Linked DNA regions of Caenorhabditis elegans. The protein of the gene in region 2 purifies or fractionates together with the protein of the main gene of each other region. This does not show direct contact. Each region holds a gene or a part of one and is shown on either strand. Other genes may lie near its edges.

Region 1 (4,005 bases), on a different chromosome or scaffold from region 2:
TAAATTAATATAATACCATGATGATAAACTACAATTTCTTGTAGCTTGTCGACTGACAATATTATAATAAGTTTTTGACAGTAAATAAAACATTTTAAAGTTTTTAGAATAGTTGTACTTTAAAAATTAGCACATTGCAATGCTTTGCATAGCGTTAGAAAAATATCCAGGGAAAGTTCCCTCAATTAAAAAAAATTTCTCAAAACAAATTTTGAATTTAGTCTAAAACAAAAATTCAGACTTTCAAGTAGAGAAAAAACGGAAGAAAGAAGTTTCGTAACTTCTATTTACGCAAAGCATAAATTCACGTATATTTTCCGAGTCACCGGAAACATGCATTGTGTGCGGTCTTCCTTTACAAACACGACATGGTATTGCACAATAATCGCGCGGTTTTTGCGTGCACAAGTGTATATTTCAATAAAATCTAATCGAACATCTCAAATGTCTCTTCTAAGTTGAGGGGAGGAGGATCGGCTAGCAGGAATAGAAGGAATAGAAGGAAGAATGTCAAAAATATAAACAAATTTCTAACAGATTGTTTGTAGCACAAATGTGCCACTATTCTCTTGGAGGATTCTACGGAAAGTGTTCACTAGTGAGATTTAAAACATGTGGAAATGGAGTGTATCAAAGCATTTGAATCATGCTGGAACAAGTGAGAAAAGTACGAAAATTTCTTGCGTCATGAAAAAGTGAGAACCACATGTTTCGCGAAAGCTTTGGATTTTTTGTTTTCTTTGAGTACAGCATAAAATAAAACTCATAAAATTGTGTTTTCCTCCCACCCAATGTAAACTTTGTTATCAAGAAGCCAGTCAGGGTTTTTAGAATTCTTGCAAACGTATAGAAAGAACTGTTTTAGAACTTCTTATCATCACATAACCACATTTATTACAATCAAGCAAGTAATGGCATAGAAATTGAGTTTTTAAATTAGAAATAGGCTTATTTTCCGGTTCTAGAGGTGGCAAATCCAACTCTCTTGTTTCCATGATCGAAGACCGAGTAGAAGCGTCCGATGAAGACGTCTCCGAGAATCCAGAGTGGTCCGGCTGGGGCTGGAATATCCATTCCCATGAATCCAGAGAGGCAGGTGGATCCTCCGTTTCCGTTGGACATTTGAAGGATGTAGTCCTTTCCTTGAAGATCGAAGTTTTGTCCTCCGAGGTTGAAGGTGATGTTTGGAAGAGATGGAATCTTGCTGCACTCAACTTCGTACTCTCCATTGAAGAGTGGGATTCCTCCGATCTTGTGTTGGATCTTCTTGATGACATCAGTTGGTCCAGTGAGAAGGGAAGTTCCAGTGTCAACAATCGAGTCGATTGGTCCGCTGGTGTAGGTGGTTCCATCGATGACAACCGAAGCGAGCTTGATTCTCCAGTAGTCCTCAGAGACGAGTGGCTCCCAAGCGATGTTTCCGACGTAGTGGTTCGGATCGGTGTCGCAAAGGGTAATTTCTCCTCCGTTGGTGATGTCGTTGGCGTCACGGCTAAGCCAGAAAGCGAATAGTTGATTCTTGCAGATGGCGGAGTTGGCGAAGATTTGGTCCATTGGCTGAGAGATCTTGTTAACAGAGATAGTGTCCCATCCCATTCCGAAGATACCGTCAAACTTGGCAGCGACGAAGGTGATTCCTGGCTCAGAAGTAGCACAGGCCAATCCTTGGTTCTTATCAGTACAGTAGGTGGTATCATGTCCGAACTATAAATATATTTTTCAGCTATATTGTAAATAACATCATAAGATTGACTTACGCAGACAACATCGTTGTCAACGGTTCCCTTCATGGATCCAGTTCCGTATTGGATCTCGAAAGAGGCTCCAGTAGCAGTGCAGGAAGAAGACTTCTTGCAATCAAACTGAAAATTATTTTATTGAAAAAAAGTTGATTTGAATACTTCAAAACTAACTCTGTTGTGCATTCTGCAGGCAATATCTCCGAATGGGCAGTTGGCGCATGGCACCCACAAGTTGGAGGATCCAGTATCGAACAAAACTTGGAAGTTTTGTGGTGGAGTTCCAATGGTCACTGGTCCATAGTATTGAGCATTGGAGTAATCAGAAAGACCCTCGTTGAATGCATCCTTGTTTGGAATGTATCCTGGGACGTACTTGGCCTTAAGATGCTCTTGGATTGATCCGAACTTGTATTGTTCACGAGTGTAAGTGCGCTTCTCGAGCTTGATTCTAAAAAAAGAAGAAACATGATAAATAAATAAAATAAAATAATTTAAATATATGAATGGTATATTAAAAATGTAACTAACCTCTGGATGGCAGAAGCCAAGGCGACAAGAGCCAGAAGAAGGAAAACGCGGCCCGACATGGTGCGTTATCACTAATTGAGAAGCAGCGCTCCGGGTTTCTTTTATATGCGACACAAACTCTTGATGATATAATTGTAAACGTCACAACCGATTTTAGTGATAATTAGTAGAGGAGGTTGGCTGGCTGAAAACGGAATTATTTCCTCTCACCGAGTCAAAAGTTTAGATCGGCTATTAAAGTAGTGTACTTTGTGTGTAAAATGAGGGAAAACCATTAAAAAGTGTCCGGGTTGACAAAATGACTTGCTGACAAGGATCCGGATTTTATAGCGTTCTGTTTGCCAAAAGAACACATTAAACTTTTTCCAGCAAAATCATATGTACTTTCAGCAACAAGTCAACACTGCTTTGTCGTCGTCACACCCTCATCGTCATTCTGATCAAAATAACAATTTCAATGGCCTACAATTCAGATTTGTTCTCCCCTATTAAAATATGACTACACTTTAAAATTAGTTCTAGAAAGTTCCACACGTTAAAAATTTAATCGGCTTATTTTCACAAAATATGAAATCATTATCATTATCGTCAAATTGTCTCACAATTTTCGTTACGAAGTAGATAGGGAATACGAAATCAGAATTTGGACATTGGACTAGATGAAATAAATTGAGAACTGTTGCAGTGGTGGAGCAGGTGTGTATACAATTACTAATAATTTTAGAACCTGAAGTAATTTTTATAAATTTGTTTCATTGAACCAAGTATTGAAGTTTTAAGTAGTAAAACATGTGTTACTATAAATTGGCCGAAAGTTTTTTAACAATATTTTTTGTTGGCTTAAAAACACTTATATTAGTCGTGCATGACCAATAATCATAATATAAATATACATACTTCAAAAACTTTTAGATATATATACTTTTAAGTTGAAATTTTGGAAATTATATTGTTTTCCAGCCACTTCCAGAATTATGATAGGTGAAAACTAAGTTTTCTTGAATTTTCGACTGCACAAAAAATTTAAAAAGTCGTTTGAAAAGTTTCACTATAGTCTTAAACCTTTAAACCACAATTTAAATTTCATTTTCACAACGGCCAATACCCAACCTTTGACAAACTCTGAATTCTAGTTTTTTCAACAAAAAAAAGTGTATAAATGACGAAAATGAAAAAACTTTTTGTAGAATGATAAATTATTTCCCAGCCGCTGTGTCAAGGCTAATTAAACAAAATTGAAGTTTTACCTAGCTCTAGTTTTTTTTAATGATTTTAAAAAGTCTAACTTTGAAAAATTTACAATTTTCTTAATATTTACTCTTTCTTTAACAACTTTTTACCTTTTAGATTAAAAATTGTTCACCCCTTTTCTGAATTTCTGAAAGAGAGACTCTCCTGAAACCAAAATTCCAAATAAAGACATTCATATCACGTTTTCTTTCAAGTATCGTTTTTAATGTATATATTCATTATTTTTATCTTAAAAACATTATTGAGACGACATCAATCAACCCCACCACATCAGTTTATCTCATCAAGTTCATCATGCTCTAAAATATCGTCAACAATGATTTCCCCGGCGGGTCTTGTTGGCAGCTTCCCTCAAACCGCCAACCCAGTTGAGCTGTGTAAAAAGCAAAAGTTTGTGCGGACGGCTCAGCGAGCAGCCGTTGTAAAGGATCTCGTTCCACACATCTCTTTCACACAAAATCTTCACTTAAAATGAAAATTCGTT
Region 2 (3,938 bases):
CTTCAAAGTTCTTGGTCTTGTTAGACTCCAAAATATTAAAGTGAAATGCGTCAACACTATGTCAACACTATAAATTCATCTATAAAACTGTTATCAGATATTAAACTTCGCAAACGTTGTTTTTCGCGCAACATGATTCTTGCGAGAAAATATCCAAGAAACCGCTTCGATTAAGGGTTACTGTATGTATGTCAAAACCTGATTAGCGTATGTCAAACTAATTATATTCATCTACAGTATCCCATATTTGCCAGATTTTGAATGTAAAATCAGGGAAGGAATGTTTAAAGTGAGGGATTGTTATGAGACCAAAAATTGGGGGCTTTCATTTTTTGCAATGAAATGATATTACCCGGAGACGGGTACATCAAATTGTGTTTTTAAGAATTCTAAGTGATCAGTTGTAAACTTTAATAATTTTCAGACATTTCTGAAACTGAAAGGGATGGAATTTGTAAAAAGATTTTTATGGTTTTCTCTGGATACCACTCCATGCTTCAGTATTCACTATACTATACCTTCTTTAAGTTGCTAACTACTTTCCAAATTATCTCTAACTTTATCGCATTCTCATTTTGCTTCGAAAAACTTTAATGAAACTGATCATTGAAGCAAAATGCGAAGTTTAAACTTTCTCCTCACAAATATGTGCTTCATGATCCTATCAGTCCACGATTCAAATATATCAATCAACATTTGACTCTCGATGCATAATCATTTATTATTATTCATATCTATATACACGTATGAAAACAAATACTTCAATCAAATAGATTATTTAGACTTTTGGGACTCCTCCGACAACGGCGTGCTCAATTCCGCACTCGTTGGTTCCACGGATGATACGGAAATATCCGTTCTCTCCCCAGTTGACGTTCCATGAGTTGGCAACAAGCCAGTATGGAGTTCCGTTGTCAGTTCCCCATCCAAGAATTCTGATGGCATGTCCTCCGAGTTCTTGTCCAGTGGTGTGAACGTAGACTCCGGTCTTGTATTGGTAGAAGTCCTCGTAGACAGTGAATGCGGCCTCGACTGGTCCGTGGGCAATGATTTCAGCTTGGATCTGGGAGACCTTCTTTCCGACGGCGTAAGCGGTGCTTCCGAAGTGCTTGTCAGCGGTGTAGGCAACGTTGTAGTTCTTGTTGGTGCACTTGTTAACACAAGCTGGGGTATCGTATCCATCATCTGGGCAAGATGGCCAGGTAACGTTTCCGACGGTCTCTCCGCATGGGGCAAGGGAGTATGGCTTGCATCCGAACTGAGCCTCGTAAGATCCTCCGGTGCAGAATCCGCTCTTGACAAGGTACTTCCAGGCGTTGATTGGGTATCCTCCCTCGCATCCGTATCCGCAGTTGGAGCAGCAAGAAAGAACATCTTCAGCTGAGAGAAGGGTGTTGACGGCTCCGTTGGAGGCGATGCAGAAACGATCAGAAGCAGCCTCGGCGGCAGCGAACGCCCAGCAGGATCCACAGTCAGATTGGTCACGGATGTTGTTGATTGACATACAGTTTGGCCATTGGGTACGGGCATCGAATGTTGCTGGAATGGTATCCTCGTTGATATCATGCTTCACAACCTCAACATCTGGAGTGTGTGGGGCAACGAATTCGGTTCTCATGAGACGCTTCTTGACCTGTTCAATGGTGATGTCCTTTGGAATCTCAGCCTTCCAGAGAGATTGCTTTGAGTTCACATACTCGGTGATAGCTTCTTGGGTTTTTGGAACAAGTGGAATAACGAGTCCGGCGGTAACAGCCACCAAGGCAGCAAGAATGAGGTATTTCTTCAAGACAATTACAATTATTAAACTTCACGCTAAAACAACCACTTACCATTTTTGTAAAAGAGCAAATAGCAAGATAGAGCAAATGCTGAAGTTACTTCATTGCGATGGTCTTTTATAGTTGACTCGTTATCAGTTCGGGAGTGCTCGTTATCTCTTATCATTGGCGTCCGGGATTAAAATTGAAAAAATTTGCGGTACCTGGCAGCGCAAATTTCGATAGACAATGCCTAATTAGGAGGTAGTCATGTGACGCAGCACCATCATTTGAGCACAATGATCTCGTGCAACTTTGATAAGAGTTTGGAAGTTGTGTGGTTCAACGAAAGTTATCATTTGGAACCAGATTAGAAGTACTCAATTTTTAGGTTAGGTGTAAAAGTAGCAAGAAGGTTTGAACTATGAGGACTACTTTGTTTCCTCTGTACTCGCCAAAAATAAATTTTAAGTTCAATGTGGCAATAATTTGGTGCGTCTCTTCGTGCATTTATCCTGAAAAAATCAACGTGACTGACTGCTCCAGAAAATTCGAAAACCTTAAAGAATGGAATGCTCTGAAATTTTGCGAATTAAACAAAATTGTAGTTTTCAACATTAGTATTTCCCAATAGGCTTTTCCAAATTTTCATTTTCAAACAGAAGTTGTGATATTCTTTTTTTACAACTTCAGAAAGTATCATTTTCATAGTTAAATTTTAAAACTGCCCGCTTTTTAAAACCTGGTTTACAATATCTGAAACCGGTGGTATTTTTTTTGCTTTCACAATCCAACAAGTGTCACGCATACTTTCTGGCTTAATTGAATTTCATAATGAAGAAGAATTAAAGATTTCCGAAGCGAAGGGGTCTTCCTGACAGGTTGACCATCTACTCATTTCTGTAATTCTTTTTTAATTTTGGAAAAGATTTTTGGAAAACCAGCAACATTTTTATGTGCAATTTTCATAATTATATGTGGGGTTTTCAATACTTTTTGAACCGTTCTATATACTTCCAGAAAACCTGAAATCTTACTGCAGGCTAGTATATTTCCTTCTACATACCTCATGACACAGAAGCCGTGGCAATACGTGGATTTCAAACTTTTACGTCACAAAATTTTATGTTGAGGATTCTATGTAGAAAAAAAGTGTTATGCGCCCAAAGTATCAAAAACACGAATTGCCACAGTTTTCAGAAGTCAATCTGAAATGGGACAAGCTAGGGTTCATAAATAGGACGTCCACATCGTTCTCGATTTTGATACATTAATTTTATTAACAAAAATCGATTATTTGGGCCAATATTATCTAGATACGGATTTGAGCCTGAAGTTTCCTGTTAAGAGGACGCTAAGCACACAAAATTTAAGAGGACGACCTAGTATGTCCTAAATAACAGCCATAGGAGAAGCTGTCAAAATTGACAGCAGACAAACTCCGCATCATATCTTTTTTATAGATGTTTTATGAAATATTAGCTTATTTATTTGAATTTAACTTTTTAACAGTGGGTTTATTTTCGAATTTAACAGTGGGTTTATTTTTATATTTTATGCCTGAATTTGATTGAACTGTGCCTCCAATATTTTATTGCTTCTCGAATGTTTCCGATTTTCCATTTTTCGATGTTTAAACAATTTTCTACCATCCGTCCAATGATAAACCTATTTTCTTCTACCGTTTCACGAAATTTGCTTTTGATATCAAAATGTCGTTGAAGTATTAATTCCACAATTCTTGTTTACAGCGTGACTCCTGACGTGCTCAAAGATGAAAAAATGGGGAGAGCAGAAGTGCGATATTAGTTTCGATAATTTTTTTTCTATTGAGTTTCTATGTATTAGTCAGTTTCATGAACCGGTAATGAACATTTGATTTTAAAAACTGTACTTGACGTCATGTGTATCAACGCCTTGAAAACAAACTTCCGGATTACAATGAAATTAATGAAATTTTCACATGATAAGGTTTTGAAATACTACACAGTTCAGGCACATTAAGAATTTGAAAAATATATGTATACTGTCTTCAGTTACGACAAATATAATTTCAAGGTGACATGTCAATGGAAAATTGCCAGATGGTAAATTGCCGGGAGGCCTAATATGTAGGTACAAATAGGTATAAATATAATAATGAAGTACAAGATGAGGAAAATGTCTGAAATTTGTCTA

Evidence for each region.
Region 1: the proteins of cpr-4 (region 2) and asp-3 fractionate together in Caenorhabditis elegans (co-fractionation; one large-scale study listed by BioGRID). This does not show direct contact.

The regions. Positions count from the first base shown.
Region 1 is NC_003284.9:6,789,515-6,793,519, reverse strand, and holds asp-3 (Aspartic protease 3), read right to left. Parts: upstream 2,457-4,005; 5' UTR 2,330-2,456; coding exon 2,271-2,329; intron 2,191-2,270; coding exon 1,914-2,190; intron 1,863-1,913; coding exon 1,758-1,862; intron 1,705-1,757; coding exon 949-1,704; 3' UTR 811-948; downstream 1-810. Other genes in the region: sgca-1 (Dystroglycan-type cadherin-like domain-containing protein), read left to right, coding at 3,993-4,005. UniProt on the Caenorhabditis elegans protein: Aspartic protease. Part of the necrosis cell death pathway. Involved in neuronal cell degeneration. Involved in heat stress response.
Region 2 is NC_003283.11:6,612,609-6,616,546, reverse strand, and holds cpr-4 (Cathepsin B-like cysteine proteinase 4), read right to left. Parts: upstream 1,874-3,938; 5' UTR 1,836-1,873; coding exon 1,833-1,835; intron 1,784-1,832; coding exon 779-1,783; 3' UTR 696-778; downstream 1-695. UniProt on the Caenorhabditis elegans protein: Thiol protease which shows activity against the fluorogenic substrate z-Arg-Arg-AMC.